Rhinolophus ferrumequinum: one gene and its partner. The protein of the gene in region 1 purifies or fractionates together with the protein of each later gene. This does not show direct contact. Links are inferred from orthologs where the notes say so. Each region holds a gene or a part of one and is shown in the gene's direction. Other genes may lie near its edges.

Region 1 (7,803 bases):
GCACAGTGCCTGGCCCAGATTTAAGCTGAGTAAATAATTAGAACTTTATAATTGGATTTGTAATGCTGAGAAACATTCAGTAGGTGAGTGCCAAGTGTCAAGGGTCTTAGGCTGAGGCTGGCACTGGAGGTGCTCAACAAGTACTCGTTATTTTAAAGCACGATGGGGCAGGGTGGGACTCAGGGCTGACAGAGAGGACAGAGGCCTTCCATCTGCCTGGGAAAGCCAGGGAGGCTTCCTGGGGGAGGCAGCTTTTCGGTTAGTCCCTGCATCTGGAGGGATTTGGCTAGGCAGAGCGAGGGAAGGGAATTCCTGGTGGAGGACACCCTAGGAGCAAAGGCCTGGAACTGGGCTCTGTGGGACTAAAGGCCAACGTCTGGCCTCAGTGGGCCCTGTGTCCTGGGGGTGGTGTAGGGCTTTCTGTGTACTCCTCTCTGAGTGTGTGTGGACTGAATGTTCTGTGGGCTGATTGCAGGACCCATCTTCTGGCTGCTGGTCAAGAGCCCCCAGCTGGCGGCCCAGCCCAGCACTTACCTGGTGGTGGCGGAGGAACTGGAAGGCGTTTCTGGAAAGTACTTCGATGGACTTAAAGAGAAAGCTCCGGCCCCTGAGGCAGAGGATGAGGAGGTAGCCCGGAGGCTTTGGGCTGAAAGTGCCCGCCTGGTGGGCTTAGAGATGTCTCATGGGTCCTCTGTGAGGGGAGAGCTCCTCCCCAAATAACCTGGGAGCAGGTGTGAAAGCCACCAAGGAGGCAGAGTCATCAGGATGGAGCAAGACCAAGGATAACTGCCATGCCCACATCACCGTCTAGGTGGCAGTATTGTATGGGCCTCAAGATTTCAAGGAACGTGGCTGCCATACCCGCTTCACCTCTAGGTGGCAGCACTGGCCAAGGAATGCTGGCTGCCATGCCCACATCACCCTCTAAATGGCAGTATTGACCTGGTTTTTTTCTTTTGTGGCCACAGTGGATTGGACTGCAGGTGGGCACCTTACCCAGGGGTTGGCTGGGGCACTGTGCCTGCCGAGAGGAGCCTCTGGTGTGGGCCACAGTTGGGGACCTTATGGCTATGGACAAGTTGTCTGACGGACACGGTCGAGTTCACGGTTCTCTGTGGGACCTTGTACAGCTCCAGCCTCCTCTCCGAGTCTCGGTTTCTCCAACTGTAGAATGTGTTCAATATCTTGACTACCTCACAGGATGGCGTGATGCCGAACAGGTCATTTCTTGGCTCAGTGAATAGTAGTGTGCATTCCTTCCCAGAGGAAGTTTACTGAGGGTCTTACATAAGCCAGACCTGGCCTTGTTATCCCCCAGTCACGCCCTGGACAACAGCTGCTGCTGCTGAGGACCCCGGATGCCGGAGTCATGACCTTTCCTTGGCCCATAGACTCTCAAGCTTATTCTTTAAATAGACTAATAATAAAACATCTAGCTGAGTCACAGGTTTTATTTTCTTCCTCCATGCCACTGAGGAAGTGCCAACGAGCTGAACAAGAACAACTCATGTATTTCTTCCTTTTGGGAAACTCAGACGTCAGGTTAAATATCAGGACAATAAAACAATCATGTTCAGATGTTTAGAGGTGAAAGGGTCCCTTCCCTCTTTTTATGTGGCGACAGTCATTGAAGTCTAGCTGTCTTCTGTGTTAGAAACAGGGCTGGCACTTAGCTCGGGCACAGATTCGAGGGGGGATGGCACCAAAAGCTCAGTAATCCAGATAAACATTTTAACATTAAAAAATGTATTATTTAATATTTACCATACTTCGGGAGGTCAGGGGTACTGCATCACATCCTACAATCCACAAAACAGCACAGAATGACTGGCCCTGGATGCCAGCAGTGGGGGGAGGGGAGTGGTGGAGGCTGAATCAAAGACACCCAACACTTTATAAATCCAGTTAGTTTTCTTTCTGTTACTGTGGGGACAGAGCCAGGAGTGCAGTTTCCAGGCTCTCGGCCTCACGTGGAAAGGTGCTGGCTCAGGTAGTAAATGGCCATCAACTGTGATTGGATGGCCATCAGCTGTGGCTAGTTGGCCGTCAGCTGTAACCAGTGAGCCATTGGCCACTAATATAACTGCGCAGGTGTACAGCGCATTGGTCAGGCATCTGCACAGTCTATGACGTGATCCCCCTGATAAGTCCAGTGCCCATCTGGCACCTTACATGATCTTTACAATTGGTTATATTCCCTACATTATAGTAACTGTCACTTTGTCCATTTCCTTCACCAGGTTAGGGAAGTTTTCTGTCATTATTTCTTCAAATAGGTTTTCATATTTTTGCTGTCTCTCTTCTCTTTCTGGTACCCCAATAATGTGAATGTTGGTATGCTTGATATTGTCTTGAAGGCCCCGTAAACTCCTCAGTTTTTTGGATTCTTTTTTCTTTTTGCTGTTCTGGTTGGGTATTTTCTTCTGCCTTATCTTCTACATTGCTGGTTGGATCCTTTGCTTCATCTAATCTACTGTTGATTCCTTGTAATATATTCTTTGTTTCCATTATTGAATGCTTTATTTCTGACTGGTTCTTTTTTATGGTTTCCATCTCCATTTTTATGCTTCCTATCTCTCTGTTGCAGTTCTCCCTGAGATCATTGAGCATTCTTATAACCAGTGTTTGGAACTCTGTGTCTGATAGATTGCGTATCTCCATTTTGCTTAGTTTTTTTTCTGGAGCTGTGTTCTGTTCTTTTACTTGGGACATGTTTCTTTGTCTCCCCATTTTGGCTGCCTCCCTGTGTCTGTTTCTATGTAGTAGGTAGGCCTGCTATGTCTTCTGGTCTTAGTAGAATGGCCTTATGTAGTACGTGTGCTGTAGGTTTCAGTGGCACAGTCTTTCTGATCGCCTGAGCCACACACTCCAGGTGTGTCCTTTGTGTGGGTTGTGTGTGCCCTCCTGTTGTAGTTGAGCCTTGGTTGATAATTGCACATCAGTGTGAGGGACTGACCCTTGGGCTCACTGGTTGTGAGGACTGGCCTTGACTACAGTGGAAGAGTTGTGCAGGGGCTGATCCTATGGAACAGGATCTGCCTCAGCAGGACTCAGGTGCCTGCCCAATGTGCCCCTTGGGTGTGTTCTATTTGGAGGTGGCTAGGTGATGCTCCAGCTCGTTTTGAAGCTGGCACTGGGCGTACCAGCACTAGGACCACCTTGGAGGGGATCCGCTGTAGGCTTACTTCAGCCATAGCCTGTGCCCCACCTGGGGGCACCCAGTGGAAGCCAGAAAGAAATCTGCAGATGGCTGCTGCCTGTGCTGTGCTTGGAAGCACTTTGAGAGGCCCAGCTGCAAACTAAGGCCAGCTGCCACTACAGGATATGCTCAAGCCAGATGCTGCTTGTCTGGGTTCCGCTAACTTTGAGAGATGCTAGAAAAGTCTGCAGCTTGAGCAGTGGCAGGCAGACTGCATGGAAAACCCACTGAAAGTGGCCAGGGTGTGCCCCAAAGTTGGGCAGAGCTGAGTCTCAAATCACCAGCGTGTGGTGAATGAACTGTGGAGACTCAGATATGGGGGCTGCCTGTGTTTGCCCCCTGGGAAGGTGGAGGGCTCAACAAAGAAAAAATGGCCTCCACCAGCTTCCTTGTCCAGGAGAAAGCTGTCTCTCCAGCCCCTCTCCCAAGCCAGAGAACTCAATTGCCATCATTTGTCCCTGCTGCCTTTCCAGCTGCTGCCCCAGCGCTGGAGCTCAGAGCAAGGGATTCCGTTGGTGGGTAAGTCAGTGCGCCGTCCCTTTAAGGGGAGCACCTGTGAGTGCAGCCGCCCTCAGTCTCACTAAGTCACAATCTCCACTGGTTTTCACAACCAGAAATTATGGGGAGTTCTCTCCCCCCAATGGAACCCTCGGCTGGGGTGGGGCTGGGATCTTTTGCTCCTTTAGGGGAGGGGGACCCCCACAGGTGAAATAGCCCTCCCAATCCCTAATGCTCACACACAGGTGTGGGACCAGCCTGTTCCGCGTCTCTGACCTTCCTACCAGTCTGGAGTGGCTTCTTCTGCACATCCTTAGTTGAAAGGCTTCAGTTCAGCTTAATTTTAGGTGATTCTCAATAATGGTTGTTTTGTACATTAGTTGTAACTTTGATGTGATTGTGAGAGAAGGTAAACACAGTGTTTACCTACTGTGCCATCTTGGTTGTTCCCCTCTTGTTCCTTTTTCTTTTTTTTTTTTTTTTAAAGATATTTTATTGGGGAAGGGGAACAGGACTTTATTGGGGAACAGTGTCTACTTCCAGGATTTTTTTTTTCCTAAGTCAAGTTGTTGTCCTTTCAATCTTAGTTGTGGAGGGTGCAGCTCAGATCCAGGTCCAGTTGCCGTTTTCTAGTTGCAGGGGGCACAGCCCACCATCCCTTGTGGGAGTCGAACTGGCAACCTTGTGGTTGAGAGGATGCACTCCAACCAATTGAGCCATCCGGGAGGCAGCTCAGCTCAAGGTGCCGTGTTCAATGTTATTTGCAGGGGGCGGAGCCCACCATCCCTTGTGGGACTCGAGGAATTGAACTGGCTTGTGGTTGAGAGCCCACTGGCCCATGTGGGAATTGAACTGGCAGCCTTTGGAGTTAGGAGCATGGAGCTCTAACCGCCTGAGCCACTGGGCCGGCCCCTCTTGTTCCTTTTTTAAGGCTGAATAATATTTCATTGTATGAATATGCCACAGTTTGTTTATTCATCAATGGACACTTGGGTTTCTCCCTCATTTTTGGCTTTTTTGAATAATGCTGCTATGAATATGGGTGTGCAAACATCTATTCAGGTTCTGTTTTTAATTCTTTTGGGTTTATACCCAGGAGTGGAATTAGTGGATCATGTGGCAATTCGATGTTTAACATTTTGAACAACCATCATAGTGTTTTCCATAGTGGCTGCACCATTTTCCATTCCCATTAGCCATGCCTGAGGATTCCATCTGCTCCACAGCCTCACCACCACTTGTTATTATTTGTCTGGTTGATGACAGCCATCCCAGTGGGTGTGAAGTGATATCTTGTAGTGGTTTTGATTTGCATATTCCCAGTGAGGGATAGGAAGTTTATGGAAGTATCAGAACATGGACAGTCCCTCCATAGGCCCACAGGGTATGACCTGGGCTGGTGACGAGAGATAACTGAGGCTCCTTGGAGCTGTGTGCAAGTCATTCTGCAGCAGGAACAGCTCCCGCGTGATAAGTCTCAATTAGGAAAAGCCAGGCTGGCGGGGGAGGGAGGAGCGCCTGCTTCGTTCTCATCGCCTCCCGTGTCTCTGCTCCTGCACAGCTTCCCTCCTGAGGAACCATGTCCCCACTCCAGGCTGTCCTCCTCTGCCTCGGTGAGTCCTGAGGGTTGATTTGGGAAATGCTGAGGGGCAGGCAGTGGGTTACGAGACAAAGAAGGTTTTAAACATGTGGGCAGTGAAGTTTGGAGCAAGAGGCCCATTCATTTGTTGGGTGGGGCCCAGGGCGGCGGAGTGTTTGTCTGAGTTGTTGTAGTCTATCCTTGGCTGGGCCAGGAAATGAACACAAGTTTCCTAGTTTTGGCCACAACTTTCTCCCACTACATAATTTTTTAAAAATGTGGACTCAGTAATATCAGGACGAGGTTATAGATTTAACTTGTCATTCATTCTTCCTCATGGTACTGGCTCCACTAATCCTGCCATTTGCTACAACATGGGTGGGTGGACCTTGAGGGTATTATGCTGAGTGAGATAAGCCGGACAGAGAAAGAAAATACTGCATGACCTCATTTATATGTGGAATCTAAAAAAGCTGAACTCATGGGAGCAGAGAGTAGAATGGTTGTTTCCAGGGGCCAGGGGTGGGAAATAGGGAGATGTTGGTTGAAGGGTACAAACTTCCATATAAGATGAATAAGTTCTGGGGGTCTAATGTCCAGCATGGTGAGTATAGCTAACAATACTGTATTATACTCATATACTTGAAAGTTGTCAAGAGAGTTGATCTTAACTGTCCTCACCACAAAAAAGAAATGGTAATTATGTGACCTGATGGAGGTGTCAGCTAATGCTAAGGTGGCAATCATGTTGCCATATATAAATTTATGAAATCAATACATTGTATATCTTGAACTTACACAATGTTATATGTCAATTATATCTTGATAAACCTGGAGAAAAAAGTAAGAGACCCCACTCGACACACAATCCCTTTCTCAAAGAGGAGGTACTTCTCTATCTAGTCATCAAAAGTGTGTGCATGGGGTGGGGTCCTGGAGGGAGCTGGCGCGGGCAAGCAATTCCCTGCTGGCTTAAAATCAACAAACCTCATGGCAAAATCACATACTTAACAGAAAATTTACCATTCATGACATTTGCATTGCTGTGCGACCGTCACCTCTATCTGGTTCCAAGACATTTCACCCCTCCCAAAGGAAATTCCATACCCACTGCACTCACCCCTCCACGTCGCCTCCCCCGGCCCCTGACAACCATTAATCTGCTTTCTGTCTCTGGACAGATTGACCTCTTCTGGACATTTCATATATATGGAATCACACAGTAGTGGCTTTTTACGGCTGGCTTCTTTCACTTCAATTATGTGCATGTGTATCTTTGAGAAAACAATTATGACAAAAGAAAGCTGAGCATACAAATGTCCTATCACCATGCCCAGCATGCAGGAAGTGTGAGTTCACTCAAGGTTCTAGCATTTGGTCCTTTTCTTTTGTCCTCAGGGCTGTGTCTGGAGCAGGTGATACAAGCTCAGAATTGTGAGTGGGGATCCCTCCTCTGGGGTCAGACAGTGAGAGGGCAGTAGGGGTGTGAGGGCTCAGGAGGAGGGTGCTGTTTGGGGGCTCTCCTCCACTACCCTCTGCTTCCCTTCCAGGCCCGCTACCCAAGCCCTCCCTCCAGGCCCACCCCAGCTCTCTTGTGCCCCTGGAGAATCCAGTGACCATCCGTTGCCAGGGGCCCCCAGGCGTGGACTTGTACCGCCTGGAGAAACTGAAATCTGGGAAGTATAACGACCAGGCTGTCCTCCATATCCCGGCCATGAAAAAAAGTTTCGCTGGATGCTACCGTTGCTTCTACCAGAACGGGACCTGCTGGTCTCTCTCCAGTGACAAGCTGGAGCTGGTGGCTACTGGTAACTGGACAGGAGGGGGTGGGGTGTAACTGGACATGTGGCCTCAGGGCGAAATGGTCCTCAGTTTTGGGCTGGAAGAGGGTGAAAATGGAGATGATGATGACAGTAAATTCAGTGGCCCAGGGGGCTGGGATTGGGTGGGGCCAGTGAGGCACTGACCTTGAGTGTTACATTTAGGAGACGTGCCACAAACCTTAATCAACGTAAGTCATATGTTAGTGCTTTCACCAATAATGTTATCTTTTTACAAAAGTCAAAATCAATGCAAAAACATCCATGATGAGCAAAATATGACAATTTTAAGTAAACACAGAATCCGTCAGTGATGGTCCAGCCATAGCCCAGCCTGATGCAAAAGGAAAAAGGTGCACCCCTCTATTCATGCACTAATGCGTTTTTTTATTTTTAGATGGAATAAAATGTCCCCAGCTTATGCTTTTCTTTCCAATGCATTTTAAATGGTTATTTTCCAAGATAGGTTTTGAAAATATCGATGAGTTTGTTTCCATGAAAGCCAGAAGTGTTAAAATGATAATAAATCCTGTCTTTTTTTTTTGGGGGGGGGTTATAAATAAAATATTTCAACTTAAAGTAGTGTTTTGAGTTTTAATAACCTACTGTAGAAATTGTCAATATTTTTCAACTATGCTAATAGTGTGGAAAAAATTAACCAAAAGAAGTACAGAAAACCATTTGGAACCTTTGCCTCAGTCTTCAAC
Region 2 (7,291 bases), on another chromosome or scaffold:
AAAATGAAAAACTAAATATATGAGGTTCTAGATACCTTCAGAGCAGCTAGAAAACAGATTTGGCACCTCTAGAATTAGAACTGGGGGCAGGGCAGATACTAAGGTCCTGAGACCAGCTTGATTTGAGGGTCTGGGCATCCTCACTGAAGATCAGAAGGTAGGGAAGGAGGAGGATGTGGCACTAGGGCCTCCTTCCTCAGAAAGGAAACAGAAATGAAGTCAGAATCAATTCTCCCTCTTACCTGCTAGACACTCCCCAGTAGGCCCCAGAACCCCCAATCTGACTACATGAGACAATATTTTTATGCATAGTTTTACATTGTGGTCTAATTACCATGTAGCACCATTTTGTGTATCATTGAAGGACAAATTAACTTTGCTATAAATTTGATAAGATTCCAATGCTAATTATGTTATGGGAGCTATTACCATTATAATTTGGCTCAGTTTTTAACATTTCTCGTTCAGGTAGCATGGATGTTCCTTTATAACGTGAAAGTATTGAGAAGGCCCTGGCCTACATTTAGCCCTGTTTGCTTTCAGGCGCTAAATGTGTGCTGTTTCTGTGATGTACCGGGCTGAGAAGCCCCAACTTTGTAGAAGGTGTTGCAAACTAAGGGGACAAGCTCCAGCTTTGATGTCAGTCAGTCAGACAGAAAGGGGTTCAAATCCAGCGGGAGCCACTTCAGCAAGGTGAATTTGAGAAAGTTCCCTACCCCTTTGGAGACCATTTTCATGTCTATCAAATGTAGAAAATAAAACCTGGTTGGTGTGAGGATTGACTAGAGGCTTTAACATAACACGACCTGTCCAGTTTCTGGGAGGTAGTTCTGACAGAAAGCTTCAGAAACCAGCCTCTTCCCAAGGAACTCTGGATGAACCAACACTCTTGCTTCCCTCTGTGAAACACCGCTCTATCCCTCCAGCAAAATGAACCCTCTCCTCTTGGCAACACTTACATACTTTTCCAAAAGTCAGTGGTTTTCATGTCAATTTGTGCCTGCTACTACAAATAGGCAATTTAATTAAATAGAAACTTAAAAAATATGAGTGAAGATGTTATTGCTATGCAAACTAAGTTGAATATTTGAAAGCAGTCACAGGTAAATAATGGTAAAAGCAAATAATTCTGCTGCATTAGGTGTGGGTAAGGTAGCTGAGAAGGTAAGAGACTGAGTGAGTGACACGGCTTTGCCGGCTTTTCTTCTGCTTCCACAAAGGTATAATTAGAAATCAGAGATGAGTTTTCATGGGTGTCTTTTAGGTAAGAAAGGTGACACAGAAACACCAAGCAGGGGTCTCATACTCAGAGGAAACACCCTGGCATTACACAACAGATTGGCAGTAATTGAATATACTTTAGGTTAAAATACAAGTAAAATGTCTAAAGCACATTTATATCATTTTTATGATTTCCCCCACTTTAAACAATGGTTTTGATTCATCGGGCCCAAGTGTGTCAGATGAGAGTCTTTCTAGTGTATTTTATTGGAATGCTGGTGATGGGTAGAAACCCATTTGTTTGGCAAACATGTCCCATATTCTCCCAGGATGTTTGGTTGGGATGCTTTCATAGTGGCTCCCAATCCTGGCTGCTTATTGGAACCATCCAGGGAGCTTGATTATTGGGTCCCATTTTCTCCCACCCCACCAACTTTGATTTAATTATCTGGGTCGGACCTGGGCAGGTGAGTCTCATGTGCCACTGCTCTGTATTATGTGCTACTTGGGCCTCAAGAACCAGGTCTGCAGCCATGTTTGTAAGAGTCAGATGGAGAGTCTTATCCTCCACTCTTCCCCTTCCTGCAAGGCCAACCAGGAGGCTTGTGCAGACAATCCAAAAGAGTCCCTGTGTTGGACTGAGGAGTCTGAAACCCGGAAAGGCAGCTCCCAGAAGAGTGGAAGGGGCACCAGGGACAGTCCATAGCTAAGCAGTAGGATGGGCTGCAGATCAGACGGCAGGGGGGGTAGGCTGGTGTGAAAGTGTGCACCAGGAGTGACCAGTCTCGGCTGCAAGTGCCATGGTCAGGGGTGTGGTGATGAAAGCCTGTGTTGAAGGAGAATTTCCTTGAGGTCAGAGATTTCATGTCTCTTCCAGTGAATGATGGTATGTTCTTATCACAGTCAATTCTCATTATTTGCCGTAGTTATGATCTATAAAGTTACCACAAACAATGAATTAGCTAACATCGAAACATTGTTCCTGGGACGAATACAGGGTTGGGTTGCTGTGAGTCTCTCTGGTCACCATATTTACATCAACTGATGTATAGATGACCTTGTTTTATGTGTGAATCTCCTGAAAGACACCTTATTTAATATATATTGTTGACTCACTAACATTGAACTCACAGCCAACAGCACCATAACTCACACCTGAACGAAGCTTCTCTAACACACGTATTTCCTCCACAAGACACATCAAAGCCTTCTTGCTCTTAGGACACTAGACAGCACTTCAGCACTACACTTGAGGGTAGTGAAACATTGAAATCAAAAACAAAAAGCACAGAAATGAAAAACCAAGGCACTACACAGACCACACAAAAGATGCATGTTTATAGTATTAGAGCTAAAACAGAAGGCAGGGCATCGCCTTGTTTGACGTTGGCTGGGAGTGTGAACGCAGAGAGATTCAAATTTTTACTGCTGTGCTCACGTCCACAAATGACTATGAAGTGCTGTGAGTACTGGTTTTGGGGTTACAGATACATTTTAGTGAGTAGGTAAATTTGCAAATGCGGAATCTGAATCTGAAAAAACTAAGAATGGATTGTACGTAGTTGAAGCCATTTTCACTCCTCCTTCCTTCTGTCCTCCTTGCTTACATCCCTCACCTTCTGCAAAGCCTGCTTCCCCTGTCAAGGGGTCTTTGTTGATTTGCAACCTGCCTCTGATCATTCCATTCTGTGCTCAATTCTCAATAGAGAAGACTGTTGAGACAACTCAGTCCATCAATCAAGAACCAATCCATCAATGCTAACGAAGTATTTTAAAGCACCTAAGAAGACTTTTGAGGGATACAATGGGAAAAGGGTAAATGTAAGAAGCAATGCCTTCCAAAGAGGGATTTACTATTTACCAGTAGTTGAGAGAAAGTTAACATGTGAAACCAAGGTAGACAATGCTAAAAAGTACCTAAGTCTGGTTTAAAATGACTGTTTCCCACTGTAAGCGCTCTAGATAAATTAAGTGACGAACTTAGCTAGGATGCTTTTGTGTGAGGACTTAGAAATGGTGATGAGTGAAAGCCCAGCTCTGCCTGATGATGCTTTGTTCCTTACTCCAGGAGACATTTTACCAAAAACCACAGGTTATTCCAGATGGATTAACCAACACCAAATATTTTGTTTCCCATTCTTTATTGCCAACATACCTTTAGCAGGATCTTAAGGACTCACTGGTAATAGTAAATATTTAATTTAGGGCCAATGTACTTGAGAGGTCAACCTGATGAAAAGTCCAGGAAATGGGACTTAGGCAGTGAATTACTCCATAGAATCTGTGACAGATTTCACTCACACAATCAACACCTTCCAACAGGCAACCTACTCCCTCCTCTTCAGCAGGAAACTAACCACTACAGACCCATACCAGTGAACATCACAGGTATAAACTACCTTGCTTTTTATTTTTTTTTTCATTTAAGGCAGTAGTTTGCAAACCTTCTATTCTCTTACCAGTAACAAATGACTGATTTATGGGATTTTGTTTCAAGGTGGCTGATCTCACTGCTGGACTGTGGCTGTAGCCTCCTCAGGTGGGGCCAGCCTCTTAAGAACATTGTTAATAAAAGGTAATTGGTCTGAAGTGCTTAGCGCTGTATCCGGCACCCAAGAGTCCCCATGTAAGTGTTTGCTATTATTAACACAAAGACCACATCTTCTACAGGGTTCTGTTTATTTCCTTGTAAATTCCACAGTGTAGTGCAATGCTGGGATCCCAGTGAACAGAATCTTGCTTAGAACAAGTGCGCATCCACGGTGACTGAGACTAATATTATGCCTTGGATTTATAAGTGTCATTTACTGACTTGGAATACACACTTGAAGACGCAGTCATTCTTTCAACAAACACTGTGTTTGGCACCTGTCATGTGCCAAACACAGTGTTACATGTGGAGATGTGGAGATAGTAGGAATAAAAAGTTAGCAACCATTAATGTGTGCTAGACACAGCGTGAGCCCATCCTCCCGGTAACCCTGCGAGGTAGGCATCCATTTTCCCAGGAGGAAATCTAAGTTTTGAGGAACTGAGTAGTTGCCAAGCCATTTAACTCAGGAGCCCCCTGCCTCCCATCAATACTCTGAACACCACCGTGTACACCCTTAAGGAGCTTACTCTGTACTCATTAAGAACTCAATGAAGCACCAACTCAACACATCTCATCCTACCTTTAAAGAACTCCAAAAGTTGGGGGATCAGAGCACGCCACCTCTCCTGTCAGGGACACCCCACTTCCTAATACCTTGAGAACTAGGTTGGAAGGGAAGGAAAGAAGAAGCAAGATGTTTCGTCTGTGCCAAGACTCCAGAGGGTCTCACTGGAAGATCCTTCTGTCGTCTCTACAACAGAATGTTGGGCCCGAGGCAGCTCCGCTCACTGGGACGCCAGGTTTCTTTGCCTTCAAAGCTCCGCGCGACGGCCACACGAAAGATCCAAACCTTGGGCAGGGTCCAAACGGTCACTTCCCCGCCCCCTGGGCGCAGTATGCAAATCCGAGCACCAGGAAGTAGCTGGGACCTCTCGGCCGAGCCCAGCGACAGCCAGTTCCTCTCCCGCCGCGCCCGGCCGCCCGCCGCTCGTTCTCGGCCGTGGCGCCTCCGGGACCGACGCGCTGCAGCCTCCAGCTCGTGTCAGGCGGGGCGGCCGCGTCACCCCGGGCCCCTAGCCTGCAGACCCCCGCCGCTCGTCCTCGGTTCCCAGCCCGCAGCCCCACTCTACGCGAGCCCTGCTGGGCCGCCCCGTCGCGCCCCGGGCTCTGAACTCAAGTCACCGTGGAGCGCCGCCGCCGCCGCCCCCTTCGCCCCGCTACTTTCACCGCGAGCTGGTGAGTCTCAAGCACCAAGAGCGCGGGCTCCAGGGCGGACCGGGCGGGGTCCGCCTCTGTGCCACTGGCTGGAGTCTCGGGCGTGAGGCAGGCCCTGGGCCAGGGGCCGGGGGTCGGCGCGGACCGCGGGAACGTGGGACGCACGCCCCTTCCTGCCAGTCCTGGCGCTCGGCCGGGCGGTGAGGGCACCCAGATGCCTTCAGCCTGTGGGTGACCGGGCCAGGAGGGGCGAGGACGCGGGGGCGAGCAGCTCAGCAGGTGTCTCCTCCAGGGAGCCGCGCAGGGGTGTGGTGGAAGAGCGGGCGCGCGGGCGGACACACCTCGAGGCCCTCTGGCGCAGACCCGAGGGCCGCATGCTGTCCCCACTCGGCCACTCCCAGAGCGTCACAGGGAAGCCCCTCTCCACGCAGAGTGGGCGCGGCAGGGATTCTGGCCGGGACCCTGGTGGGGATTCCTCGGGTTGCACAATCTGGGCTTCCCGTTGGGCCCAGGTCCCCAGAGGCGAGGGGTGGGGCTCGGTCGCGGCCCTCTTCCAGACCCGCGGGCAGTTGCCCTCCTCCAGAGCCCCGGCAGCAGCGTGACGTCGAGGGGGTGCGGTGGAGGCTGGTGCGCACCCTCCCGCTGAGCCAGGCGCCTCTCGGCCTGCAGAGCAGCAGTCCCGTGCCTCGGTCCGCCTGGAGGAAGCGAGAGTTATTTTAAGAATTCAGGGGTTGCCTTTCTTTTGCCTTGGGGGAAGGGTGTAAGCGTCACTTCCCACTGTCCTGCGTTATCTTGGCCTCCTGTGATGGCTTCTAGATGCTGTACAGCCAGCGTGGTTCTGTGGTCATGTCTCCAACGTGTGTTTGTGTTTTACCCCAAATCCACCCAACTACTTTGCCGTCTCAGAAACCCGAGTGGAATGGAGGCCTTACAATTTCCCACCTGAGTGTGAACCTGGGCTTGTGGTTGAAATACCCTTTTTGAGTTTCCTCATCTTTGGGAGAACCTGTCTACCTCCTGTGCTATTTGTTGTAGTTATTTAATGAATGGCGCTGTTATTTATTGCAAATAATTCTTTCCATAAAAAAAAAAAAAACAAGGCTCCCTGGTTCTTTGCAATTTGATGATTTTAAACCTAAGACTATCTGTCTGATTTAGCCACCTGTCCTTATTAATAAATCTGCTTAATAAATATACCAGAGTTTTGCTGTCCCAAAGCAGGGCCCAGGAGTCTGGCTCACCCTAAGACTAGCCAATAAGGATGTCTGACTTACTTGTGATTTATTGGCTGCCCTCAGCTGGCTGTAGGGTTCAGGAAGACAGGCAACACCTAAAGTAGTGCCACCGGGAGTAGGCACCGACAGAATACAGGCAGTTCTTAAGTACTCAAAGTCCTTCCAGTAAGTGAGCTCTGCTGGCAAATGGTGGGATTCAGGTAATCCCTGGTTTTCACTTGGAGGTAAAGAAGTAAATGTCTTAAGACTTGAAGAACTTTAACTTGATCACAAGAGGCTTTTGGTGATAGGGCCTTTTTAAATGCACAGTGGGACAACCCTGTTCCTGAGGAAAGGTTAGAAGGCCCCAAAGTAAGGGAAGAGAACACAGAAGCCAGGAAACCTGAGGTAGGGTCTGTTCTACCATTTACCAGAGCTATGATTTGGGATAAGTTACTTGGGCCATTTATTTAGCCAACGTTTCCTTCATAGAAGTAATCAGAGTTATATTATGAATTGCTAGCGTGTGTATACTACAATGAAAGCTCCATGATTACAGCTTTGTCTGTCTTGTCTGAAATGCTAGCCCCGGAGCCTCTCACATAGTTGAGATTACTTGGAAGAACGAATGAAGTATGGCCCTATGCAAGGCAGAAGGAACAGGCCTGGTTCCTAAGGCATTTGAAGCCTACCGGTCCTCTGTCCTGGTTTCTAAAGCGGGGATTTGAGGGACTTTTTGGACTGTTAAGTTATCTCAGAGCCAGCTCTAAGTGGGAAACTCCACTCAGGACTGGTTACTCTGCTGTATTACCTGGAGAAGGGGCTTGATTTGGAGTATAAGATATAGCCTGCAAAAGTAGTTTGGCAACCCAAAAGACCCACTTTATCTTAGAGTCATTGGTGTAGCAAAGATATGTGGAGAATTTGTATTCTTTTAGTAGAAAAGTAGTCCAGCAGTTTTGCACATCAATGATTTTCAAAGACTTTTAGTTCCACTATATTTGTATTCAAAAATAAATCACCAAAACATCTGAGATGCGAGTTGGTT

Evidence for each region. The genes of interacting proteins can lie anywhere in the genome.
Region 2: the proteins of GP6 (region 1) and LYN purify together in Homo sapiens (affinity purification with western blotting; 5 studies listed by BioGRID and IntAct, with this or other methods). This does not show direct contact. The link is inferred for Rhinolophus ferrumequinum from reciprocal best matches to the Homo sapiens genes GP6 and LYN.

Annotation. Positions count from the first base shown.
Region 1 is NC_046298.1:48,294,617-48,302,419, reverse strand, and holds the start of GP6 (platelet glycoprotein VI), read left to right. Parts: upstream 1-4,792; 5' UTR 4,793-5,276; coding exon 5,277-5,310; intron 5,311-6,674; coding exon 6,675-6,710; intron 6,711-6,826; coding exon 6,827-7,084; intron 7,085-7,803. Other genes in the region: RDH13 (retinol dehydrogenase 13), read left to right, coding at 476-720.
Region 2 is NC_046297.1:22,212,475-22,219,765, reverse strand, and holds the start of LYN (tyrosine-protein kinase Lyn), read left to right. Parts: upstream 1-4,279; 5' UTR 4,280-4,575; coding exon 4,576-5,050; intron 5,051-7,291. UniProt on the Homo sapiens protein: Non-receptor tyrosine-protein kinase that transmits signals from cell surface receptors and plays an important role in the regulation of innate and adaptive immune responses, hematopoiesis, responses to growth factors and cytokines, integrin signaling, but also responses to DNA damage and genotoxic agents.